Linked DNA regions of Mus musculus. The protein of the gene in region 3 purifies or fractionates together with the protein of the main gene of each other region. This does not show direct contact. Links are inferred from orthologs where the notes say so. Each region holds a gene or a part of one and is shown on either strand. Other genes may lie near its edges.

Evidence for each region. The genes of interacting proteins can lie anywhere in the genome.
Region 1: the proteins of Cct2 (region 3) and Gnb1 purify together in Homo sapiens (co-immunoprecipitation; 3 studies listed by BioGRID and IntAct, with this or other methods). This does not show direct contact. The link is inferred for Mus musculus from reciprocal best matches to the Homo sapiens genes CCT2 and GNB1.
Region 2: the proteins of Cct2 (region 3) and Tle2 purify together in Homo sapiens (affinity purification with mass spectrometry; 3 studies listed by BioGRID and IntAct, with this or other methods). This does not show direct contact. The link is inferred for Mus musculus from reciprocal best matches to the Homo sapiens genes CCT2 and TLE2.

What each region holds. Positions count from the first base shown.
Region 1 is NC_000070.6:155,489,993-155,493,738, forward strand, and holds the start of Gnb1 (guanine nucleotide-binding protein G(I)/G(S)/G(T) subunit beta-1), read left to right. Parts: upstream 1-1,368; 5' UTR 1,369-1,588; intron 1,589-3,746. UniProt on the Homo sapiens protein: Guanine nucleotide-binding proteins (G proteins) are involved as a modulator or transducer in various transmembrane signaling systems.
Region 2 is NC_000076.6:81,574,403-81,578,095, reverse strand, and holds the start of Tle2 (transducin-like enhancer protein 2), read right to left. Parts: upstream 2,810-3,693; 5' UTR 2,429-2,809; coding exon 2,405-2,428; intron 2,292-2,404; coding exon 2,194-2,291; intron 1,861-2,193; coding exon 1,797-1,860; intron 1,568-1,796; coding exon 1,454-1,567; intron 765-1,453; exon of another isoform or gene 626-764; coding exon of another isoform or gene 554-625; intron 468-553; coding exon 405-467; intron 1-404.
Region 3 is NC_000076.6:117,053,781-117,057,426, reverse strand, and holds part of Cct2 (T-complex protein 1 subunit beta), read left to right. Parts: intron 1-149; coding exon 150-253; intron 254-1,267; coding exon 1,268-1,387; intron 1,388-2,191; coding exon 2,192-2,320; intron 2,321-2,446; coding exon 2,447-2,550; intron 2,551-3,287; coding exon 3,288-3,387; intron 3,388-3,646. UniProt on the Homo sapiens protein: Component of the chaperonin-containing T-complex (TRiC), a molecular chaperone complex that assists the folding of actin, tubulin and other proteins upon ATP hydrolysis.

The sequences.
Region 1 (3,746 bases), on a different chromosome or scaffold from region 3:
ACAAGTTCATGGAAGAGGCACTTGTGGGAAGTTGGAGTCACAAGGGACAGTGGAGAGAATGGTGAGAAGGAAGGACCCTGTACTTTTACTTGGAGAGAGTGGGATGATGGAGCTGTCAAGAACTTCAGGTAAAAAACAGTCACAAATGACAGAGTCAGGTCTCGAACAGATGGAGTGAAGGGCATAGAGTCCCAGGGGTCAGAGGCCCTAGGGTGAGATGATAGCAGTGGTGGATATATTTGAGGTAACTGGAACCAGGCTTCTTACTCTCAAAGCAGGTCACTCAATATGCAAGGAAGAGAATATGCAGTATTTTGGAGAGACCACACACTTACTGTGATCAAGAAAAAGATACGAATGCCCACATGACCATCTGCATGTACATATATGTATGTTCATGTAAATGTATGTTTTCCCTCAGGGTGCCTGCTCAGCAATGACACTTTTGTAGCAATGAATATCCAATACCTGGTTCCTCACTTCTACCCATCCACTAGCAGAAGCTAGGGCTCGTAAAATCAGGCGTCAGATCAGGGCTGGCACAGGGAAAGTATATGAGGAAACTGTCAGGACTGAACAATGACAGACACATTTCTATGGCCCGGCAGGAAGCGCCCAGGGCAGGGAGGGGGAAGTGTGCAGACCACTCAAAGGCTGTTTCAAGAAGGAATGGGCTTCAAGGAAAGGCTGCAAGGTGCACAGAAGCTAACAAGAAGGGAAGGTATCAAGTGTGAATCATGGAAAGGTCTCAGAGTCAGCGTGGTGGCCAGGCCCCCCAGAGAGTTGTGGCTCTTGTTTAAAAGAGGGTAGTGCAGGCCAAGAGGAAATAAGAGAGGTATTCACCTGGTTTTGGAAAGGGCAGAATGGGAGTGAAAAAGTCATTGTGGCAGGAGTCATATTAGTTGAAGATGGCTGGACAAATAGGCACGACGGACCAGACCGGATGGCATGTCTTAAAGATTCTGGTGGTTAATCTTGACATCTTTCCTGTCCCACCTGGCTATTCCTACCCCTCTACCCCCGCTGTCTAGAACCTGCTAGGCCGTTCACGCACGCACGCACGCCTTTCGGCCCTCCCGGGCTGGTCATTCAGGCAGGACACACCGCCCTCTGGCTTGGGGCACATGGCACAGGAGCCGACACCGTCAGGTCAGAGCCAGAGGCCACCGAGGCCGATAGGCTGCCAACGTCCCTGGAAGACCCTTGCGGGGTGTGTGGGGTGGTGGTGGGGTGGGGTGGGGGAAAAAAATCACGGGTCCTTTAAGCCTCTCGCGCACGCGCAGAGGGAAGGAGGGGCGGGGCGGAAAGAGCGGCACGCGCACGCCGCCCGTGCGCGGTGACGCGACGTGGGGTTTCCCGAGGCTGCGGGCAGGGGCCGCCGCGCCCATCCTGATGGCTGGAGGCGTCTGAGGGGCGGACGGCGACGGCGGCGGCGGCGGCGGCGGTGGCGGGCGCGGGCGGCGAGGGCAGCGGGGCTGGGACTGGAACAGCCGCCGCGCGGACCCGACCAGCCTCGCCGACTCCTGCCCGCAGGCCGCGAGCGCGACGACCAGGCGGCGGCGTGGGCGCCAGACCGGGCGAGGGCGAGGTGAGCGCGGCTGGGGTCTGTGAGCTGAGCCTGCCCCGCGCTGGGCCAGGCCCTGCGGCTCTTCTCGCTCGTGGGTCATCGGCCGCCGTCTTCATCCTGCTCTTCAGGGTTGGGTGGGCGATCCCCGGCGTGCCGGGTGGGCGGCAGGGCTGGGGTCTCGGGGTCCGGGGGGTGAGGGATGGGGCGGAGCCGCCTGGGCCGGGGCGCAGGCCCGGGCCGGGGTCTTAGGCTCAAGGCCGCGTCCGGGGTGCGGGCCCGGAGATGCGGCAACCTGGGTGGAGGTCCTGGGTTCAAGGCCAGATCTGGGATGGGTTCTGGGTTCAAGGCTGGATCCCGGATGCGGGACCTGATCTGTGGTCTTGGGTTCAAAGCCCGTGTCGGAATTCGGTTTCCAGACTCATTCATGTTCCTGGGGTCGAGGCTGTTGCGGGGGGCGGGGGGGTCTAGGGCCTGATGCGGGATCCCGGAGGTGGTCTTGAGTTTTAAGAAAGGGAACGGGATGCAGGGCTGGGGCTCGGGTCGTAGGTTCGAGCCTGGATGGCTTGCTAAGGTGGGGATGCCAGGAGAGCCGCAGGCGCTTCTTCTCGCGGCCGAGTCCCCGCGGGAACAAAAGCCGAGCTCTGCCCTCCGGACCGCGCCTTCCTGCGGGGCGTGGGACTCGGCCGGGCGCGCGGGGAGCGGACACGGGGCGAGTCTACTGGATTCGGCCATCAACCCCTGCCGGGTGCGGGCCTACGGCTACCAAGCTTCCCAGCTTCCTTCGCTGCCGGCCTTCCTGGCCCCAGGCACCCGTAAATGAATGGGCGCCGCGTCCGGTCGCCGCGACAAGATGGCGATACCCGCCTTTGTCAGCCAGGACCGCGCCGTCCGCTGCCGGGGCTGAAAACAAAGGCCGGCTCTGGTGGCCGGTGCAGAGGAAAAGGCGCCGGGCTCCTGGGTTCGCCTGATGCATCAGTGCTGGGAGGGGACGTCCTGCCCAGAGCACTCAGAGGGTGGCCTAGTCTTTCCGCGTCTCCTCCACAGCCTCGGGTTCCCCTGGGGAACTGCAGCTTGGCTTTTGACCTTTTGATACATTTAAACATTTTTTTTTTCCGGGTTTTTTTAAACCACAGGATTAGCATCCCGAAATAGCATCCCTATACGTGTTCAGCTCATCTTTAAAGAGGTTATGTCAAAATTTTTATTTTGAGAGGAGAATTAGTGGGGCTTCATTTAATTAATTAATTGTTTAGTGCATTGCTGTTTTGCCTGGATGTGTCTGTGTCTGTGTGTGTATGTGAGGGTGTCAGATTCCCTGGAACTGGAGTTAGAGTCATTAGCTGACTTGTGGGTGCTGGGAACAGAACTCAAGACCCTTTGGAAGATCAGCCGATGCTCTTAACCCCTGAACCATCTCTCCAGCCCCGAATTAGTAGAATTTATAAGTATATAAATGACACTTGTGCATGAATTTTGAAATTTCAGGTAATTTGTAGTGTTGGTTTGGTAGTAATAGTACTTTGTATTGTTATGTTTCGATCTGATAGCAGCAATCAAGCCTTTCTCTGTGTGTGGTTAAGTAGCCTGTGAGATTTACTGTTAACTAAGAAAATATGTAGTCATTCTATCATGATAAATGGAAGTGTTAATATTGTGAAAAGTTCCATTTCACTGTGGAGACTAAATGTGGTCCTCAGAGAAACCATTAGTCAGTTTCTATGTAGTTTTTGTTTGTTTGGGTTTTTGTTTTGTTTTGTTACATCTGAAGCTGTAGTGGTTTTTGGTGGTGGGAGATATTTGAAGATAAGGCTTTTAGTTTTCATGCTAAGATGTCTTCTGGATTCTTCTGGAAGGTATATTGCAAAAGGAAAATTTCTTCCGCCGGGTGTTTGGCCAGGGATGGAAATGTGAAGAGGCTTTGAGCCTCTAGACAGCAGAGCTAGGTTCTGGATAGATAGGACCTAGGGAGAGTGACCTTTTTCACAGACCTGTGCAGGAATGCAGTGCAGCTGGGAAGGCCCTGGTCTGCATGGGAGAGGCTAGACTGTAGGTGTAGGGTTCTGACTGCACGTATTTCACTTCTACAGTGTGCTGTCTTTCTTAGAAGGTGAGAGCCTTGAAAGTCAAAAGTAGGTTTTCTGAGGCTGTGTGCTCATACCTGCTGCCTGGCTCCTGGGTT
Region 2 (3,693 bases), about 35 Mb from region 3:
ATTATGGGTTGGCTCAGTGGCTAAGAGCTCTGGCTGCTCTCTCAAGGGACCAGGGTTCGATTCCTGGCACCCACATGATGGCTCACAACCCATCTGTAACTCCAATTTCAGAGGACACAGCGTCCTCCTCTGGTCTCTGAGGGTACTGCACACATATGGTGCACAGATATGTGGACAAAACACCCATACATATAAAATTAAATAAATGCATTAAAGTGTAATAAAAGCAATCAAAGGAGAATGGCACCGTGGGAAGCGCACACACCAAGGCTGACCTCTCTCTGTCCTCATGATATGCACACTCATGGACATATGAAGGGCAGAATGCCCTTGGTCCTCACCCTCAGCCAGTGTCTAACCAGGCCCAGGACACCCTCCCTGCCTCCAAGACTCTGCACACTCACCTCCTGAGTGAGGAACGGGACCATCTGGGCACAGATCGCACTGAGGCGTTTCACAATCTCAGCCTGGTAGAGAAGCAACAAGCTGGGTGGCACTGGAGGGGGACAGTCACCTCCACCATCCAGCCCCCAGCACTAGAGGGGACAGTCACCTCCACCATCCAGCCGCCAGCACTGGAAGGGACAGTCACTTCCACCATCCAGCCCCCAGCTGGACTGAGCATTCGTGGAGCTGCCTGGCTAGGGAGTCCTGCAAGTCTGTGACACCTCCCCACCGCCCTATGAAGCCCTCAGAGATGCAAACATAGATGGACCGATGATGCCCAAGGCAGCACTGTGGTCATTCCCCGAGGCCCTAGAAACCTGTGTGAAAGAGTGTGTGTTTGTCTGGCATGACCCAGCTCTCTGCAGGTCTTTGGGGGGCTGTTCTGTGGTTGCCTCTGGTCGCCTACAAGGCCTGTGTCCTCCACCAGGCAAGGACCAGTAAGGACCAGCTCTCTGCTGCCCACATCAGCACCAAGTCCCACAGAAACCAGGGGAAGCAAATGGCAGGTGAGGCTCACTCAGCATCTACCTGCACAGAAAGGAGCCTAGGGTAGGGCTCCAGCATGGAATCATGAGTGTTCGGGGGCAAAACCTATAAATCCACTCATCAACAGATCTCTGAACCCTCAGGACCCCCTAGAGCCACTGGCCACTTTGGGGACTCAGGGTTAATTACAGACCTCAAAGTCAATCTCCACATAGAGTGTATCTCAGAACCCTAACACCATAGGCTGGAGTCTCAGAAGCCCATGGGATCAACCATGCAACTCCAAATGCTATCTCAGAAGCTCAAGCCCTCAGAACCTTCAGGGCTATCTCAGAACCTCCAGTCCTTGGAACTGTCAGTTATCTCAGAACTTTCAGGGCTATCTCAGATCCTTGAACCCTCAGAACCTTCAGGGCTATCTCAAATCTCAGATCCACTCAGAACCTTTGGGATGACCACCTGAAATGTGGATGAACTTAGTTAGACCCTCCCCGCAGACACCCGTACCCCACATGGTCACCTGTTTATGCATCTCAATGTTGAGTCCGTAGGACATCTCGTAGTACTGCAAAGGAGACAGTCTTGGCCAGTGTGGATAGCTGGTGCCACCCTGGGGACACTGATGGGGTGCAGCCTCGAGGGGGTGGTACGAGTATCAGGGCAAGACACAAACACCCTGAGCCCCATGGAGACCCAGACAGGGAACCCACAAGATGGATCACGGATGGGCTCAGAGAGATAGGACAATCAGGTAGTCCCCCAAATTGGAGGGGGGGGGAGACCCACAGAACAGTGCCTGGTATCCCAGCCTGCCCTTTTTAGGGAGAACACGGAAGTGGGCAGAATGGGCAGGTACTCCTTACCATCACATAATGCCTTTGCATTTCTGTCTTCTCGCTGGCCAGCTTCTCACATTCTAGCTTGAGGCTGGGCAGGAAGAATAGACAAAAATGGGGGTTGACTTGCCACACCCCACATGGGTCAGTTTCCACAGTGACAGGCAGAAGCTGCTGGCTCCCCATTCCTTTAGAAACTGTTCCCAGTCCTCTCGAGCCCAGATCTACTCCTGGGACCAAAACATTCTCAGGGAAGGCTTTCCCTGAATCCATTCATCTCACACTCTTCTGGGCACCACCTCCACCAGAAAGCCCTCCAGTAGGCCCAATGAGCCCCGCCCCTTGCCCTAGAAACCACGCCCCTCCAAGAGTCCCCGCTCACCCCCATGGGGCTTCCCAGGGCCCAGAACTAGGGCTCCCTCACCTGTGGTACTGAGCTTGAAGAAACTGGAATTCCTCTTTGATCCGGTCACAGATTTCCAGTACTGAGAACTTGAAAGGCTGGCCAGACTGCAGCGGGGTCTGAGGGGGAGAGTGGGAAAGGACACTAGGGTGAGTTCCAGGGCAACAGCAGGCAGGAGTCCCCTCCCTGGTCCCCACCTCCTGCAGCCAGAGATGGGAGTCTCCGTACTCACCGGGTGCCTTCCCTGAGGGTACATCCTGCTGATGGATGGGTGAGAGAATGGACCCCCCCAGCTTCTTGGAGGCTTGAGGATGTGGCAAAGGGACGCTGAGGTGCAGAGGTGGCGCTGGGGAGAGAATTGGGTGCGGGGAGGAGCAGGCAGTAGAATTTGGGGTGCTAAGCTAGAGCTGGGGTGCAAGGAGACTGAGCCTGGAAAAGCTAGGAGAGAAGCCGGAGCTGGGGGAGGGATTTTTACGCAAAGAAAGAGCAGCCAGGGAGAGCCTGTCGGGGCAGGGGACCAGGACCCCGCGCTGCGCCCCCCCTCCAGCCAGCGCGTCCGGGGTTGTACAACCCAGGGGCAGCTGCAGTCAGCGCCGCAGGTCTGTGGCCGCCGCCCGGGGTCGGCGCTGGTGGCCTCAGTGGCTGCGGAGCCGCCTCCCTCCGCGGGGCTCGGCTGGGAGCCGCGGGCGGGACCCGCCTTAAGGTGGCACCGCCGCCCCCGCCTGCTCTGCTTCTTCGGTTCCAAGACCCGCTGGGGAAACTGAGGCTTGGGTTCGATCCTAGTGTTCCCGCCCCACCCCCACTCAAAAAAAAAAAAAAAACCGGGGGGAGAGAAATTAGGCAAAAAAAAAAAAAAAATCTCTGTGCGCGCGCCTCTGGAGCCGTGGGGGCTGCAAGTGGCTTCTCTGGGACAGCGACACTATGCCCTTATGAAGGATAAACATCCCCAAGATCGAAAGAGAGAGAGATACACACCTGTCCCAGGAAGAGCAGACCCAGGCTATGCTTGTCAACCAATGCTGCCCCACTCTGGAGAGATCCAGGACAGAGCCCAGGGCAGCTTGGTCAGGCTCAGAGCCCACTACAGACTTGCATGCTAGTGCCACCACCAGCCAACTGGGTGGCCTCCTCTATCCAGATTGGGCTCCTAAAGGACCAGACTCTTTAAACTTAGTGCATAGAACTCTTGTGTATCTTGAACCGGAACACTAGAAAATCTTCTGCAGGGGCTTCACCACTGACCCCGCCCCCAGACCTTCACTGGGAGATTCTAGGCAGCAGCTCTACCTCTGACCACACCCCCAGCCCTTCACCGAGGGATTCTAGGCAGAAGTCACCCATGACCACGCCCCCAGCCCCTCACTAGGGATTAGAGACTCCACTCTTGACCACGCCCCCAGCCCCCTTTTACTTTTGGAGGCAAGGCCTTGCTAAGTTGCCCCTGCAAAGCTTGAGCTTGGAATTCTCAGTCCCTGTAGTAGCTGGGACAACAGGCCTCTGTGTGCCATCAGGCCACCTCCT
Region 3 (3,646 bases):
CTCTATCGTTTGAGACTCAAGGATTGAGCATAGATAGTGAGGCTGGATTTTTTATTTCCGGTGAAGTAAAAGTGCTTGCAGGTTTGTGTTGTAATGTAATTCAGCTTGACAAGGAGCCATTTTGAGCATAACATGTATTTTATTTTCAGACAGTTAATTTATAATTACCCTGAACAACTCTTCGGCGCTGCTGGCGTCATGGCTATTGAGCATGCGGATTTCGCAGGTGTGGAGCGCCTCGCTCTTGTCACAGGTATGGAAAATGCATACCTTAGGAAGTGCAGTTTCCAGTACGTTACTGTGCAGTGCACTGAGAATAGGAAGAACCCCCTTAAAGAGTTGAGAGTATATACTTTGAGTTAGGCCTTTAATTTCCTTACATTGTTTGAAGACTTAGATTGATTGATTGATTGTGCATGTGGATATGTGCCCTGCTTCACCAGTGGAGATCGTAGCACTAATGTTTTCCTCTTCCTGTGTGGGTCCTGGGTCTCAGCTCAGGTTCGAACTACCTTGCTGGCTCCTCTATACCATTACAGGCAATTCTCTCTGTACTTGAGTTTCTCAGATTTTTGGGTGTGGAGTGTAGTGATTGACTGTGTATGATGAAATGACATAGGGTAGGACCCAAGTCTAAATATGAAATACATTTCTGTCAGATGTGTATACTCACGCAGAGAGATTGTCAGATGTGTATACTCACACAGAGAGGTCGTCAGATGTGTATACTCACACAGAAATGGTTTACGCAGCGCTTTTGGTTGATATGCAGTTTTACTGGCCTTTCACCTGGGCCATTTTCATTCTTACAGATGCACATTTGGGGTTTCCGTTTAGGAATGCTTAAAGTGTATGCCAGATTTTACGCGCACGCACACACATGTGTGCATGCACACACCACACGGTTTGCCATGACTCTAGAGTGATGTTTCAAGACAGTCCATTCTTTCTCACAGAATAAAGACTTTACTTTCTGGGCATGAGCAAATCTGAGCTTAAAAGAAGAGTCTCGAGTATTAAATCTTAAGTTAAACCTTAGTTTGTTTTGCTGAATGCTTAGCTCCTTATGCCCCGTGTGAGGTAAAGTCAGTGACCTTTAATGACGACATCGTGCCCTTCAGAGCGGGTCAAGTATGTACCTTGTGCTTGATTTGACATATCTTTTCTAAGTTTCTAATTTACAAAATTACGGTAAAACTATTTAAATGAGTGAATCAATTCTGTAACAGCCTCAAACCCACAGATGTGTTTCCGGTGATGTTCGCAGGTGGTGAGATTGCCTCTACCTTTGATCACCCAGAACTTGTGAAGCTTGGAAGTTGCAAACTTATTGAAGAAGTTATGATCGGGGAAGATAAACTCATTCACTTTTCTGGGGTTGCCCTTGGTGAGTGACTGTAAATCTTGGCTTAAGGACCTAAGTCCTTGCCGACCTCTGGAAGTGGGAAAAAAGTTGTAGGACTGGAGAGATGGCTCAGCGGTTAAGGACCTCTGGTTCTGAGTTCAAATCCCAGTGACCACAAGGTGGCTCACAACCATCTGTATGAGCTCTGATGCCCTCTTCTGGTATGAAGTCAGCGGCAGTGTACTCATACTACATAAAGTGAAACTTTTTTTTTTAAGGTTTCTATAGCACTGAAATAGATATCCTATAGATAGATACCCTATAGATAGATACCCTATAGATAGATATCCTATAGGTTGTCGAGATGGCTCTGAGTGGAAGTGCTTGAAACTTGAAGACCTTAGTTCCCTTTCTGGGACCCTCATGGTAGGAGGAGAGAGCCAACTCTCACCTTGGACTTCCATGCATATATGCACCCACGCACATACATGCATGACTAAGGATTATTAAGTGGACTGGATATATGTGTCTTATGAGGGCAAATATAAATTTTTTTTAATTAGGTATTTTCTTCATTTACAAATATAAATTTTGAGAGAGCCTATTTTATGTTCTGTTTCAGTGTCTTAAAGTCAGGTTGATACTTGCTGCCTTTTGAAATGTGTACATTTAGCATAGAATTTTTTTCTTCATCACTCAGAACATTTATGAACATGGATTTTTGCAGAGAAGCATTGCTACCAAAGCCCAAGACTAGTCGAGTCGTTACTTACTAAGTCGTTACTTGGAGTGCAGATGATGCTGTGGTGAGTGGCTAGACGGTCACTGATTGACGTTTCTCCTTAGGTGAGGCATGCACCATTGTGCTTCGTGGTGCCACTCAGCAAATTCTGGATGAAGCTGAACGATCTCTGCATGATGCTCTTTGTGTTCTTGCTCAGACTGTAAAAGATCCTAGAACAGTTTACGGGGGAGGTAAGCATTTCAAGAATGTTACATACTTTGTTTCTTGACAGTAGGTCCGACTTAGATGTGAACATCTTGGCTTTTATAGAAACAGAGACGGCAGAGTGCATAACAAGTTCTGGGTTACATTTGTAGGCTGCTCTGAGATGCTGATGGCCCATGCTGTGACACAGCTTGCCAACAGAACCCCAGGAAAAGAAGCTGTAGCAATGGAGTCGTTTGCAAAAGCCCTGAGAATGGTAAGCTATGAAGAGAGAGGTGAACATACATTTCATGGGCTTGATTTTAAACTGAATATATTTTTGTGTCCTAGAGAAAAATTTTTCTCTTTGCCTTTACAAAACTACAGTAGTCCACAATGTTTTATATTTTGATTCTACATTTTATACGTAATCATGAATCATTATTAAGAAACAAACAGCCAAGCAGGGTGTGGTGGCACACGCCTTTAATCCCAGCACTCGGGAGGCAGAGGCAGGTGGATTTCTGAGTTCGAGACCAGCCTGGTGGTCTACAGAGTGAGTTCCAGGACAGCCAGGGCTACACAGAGAAACCCTGTTTCGGAAAAAACAAACAAACAAACAAACCAGACAGCCAGGCATGGTCTTTACCTATAATCCCAGCACTTGAGGTTGAAGCCAGATGTGAGACCAGCCCTGTCTGTAAGAGCTTGTCTTTAAGAAGAGCAACAGGAAGCAGGCTTTCCCTGTAATTCAGCTGTCTCTCTAGGTTAGAGGCAGTGTGGTCCTTGGTGGTTATTCATCACTTTGTTTTTTTTTTTTTTAAGTATAGAATAGAGTTTATTCTGGGCATAGGGAGGGGAGTTAAGAGGGAGAGAAAAGTGGGGAGATGGAGAGAGTAGAGAAGTAGAGTCCAGCTATGACCACATGGAGGGAAGGGGAAGGGAATCGGTGGAGAGGGGGGAGCAAGGGGCAAGCGGCAAGAGTGAGAGTTGTTTGTCCCTTTCATGTTGCAGTTGCCGACCATCATAGCCGACAATGCGGGCTATGACAGTGCAGATCTGGTGGCACAGCTCCGAGCTGCTCACAGTGAAGGCCATATAACTGCTGGACTGGGTAAGAGACAAATGGACTTCTGCAGCCACTTTGGAAAGTAGTTTTCTTCAATTAGAAATAAGTCACACATACATCCACTTTGTATGTCTGTATGGACACGCACATAATGCACTGGGGTCCCACCCCCTTCCCTTTTTCTTTTCACACCTTTTCTCCTTCACTGAACCCTTTGTTCCCAGGTCCCTGTCCTGCTCACGCGGGCTATAGGCACCTTATCCAGGCTGTACCCTGAGGAATAAGATTCATCCTTCCCCAGTAG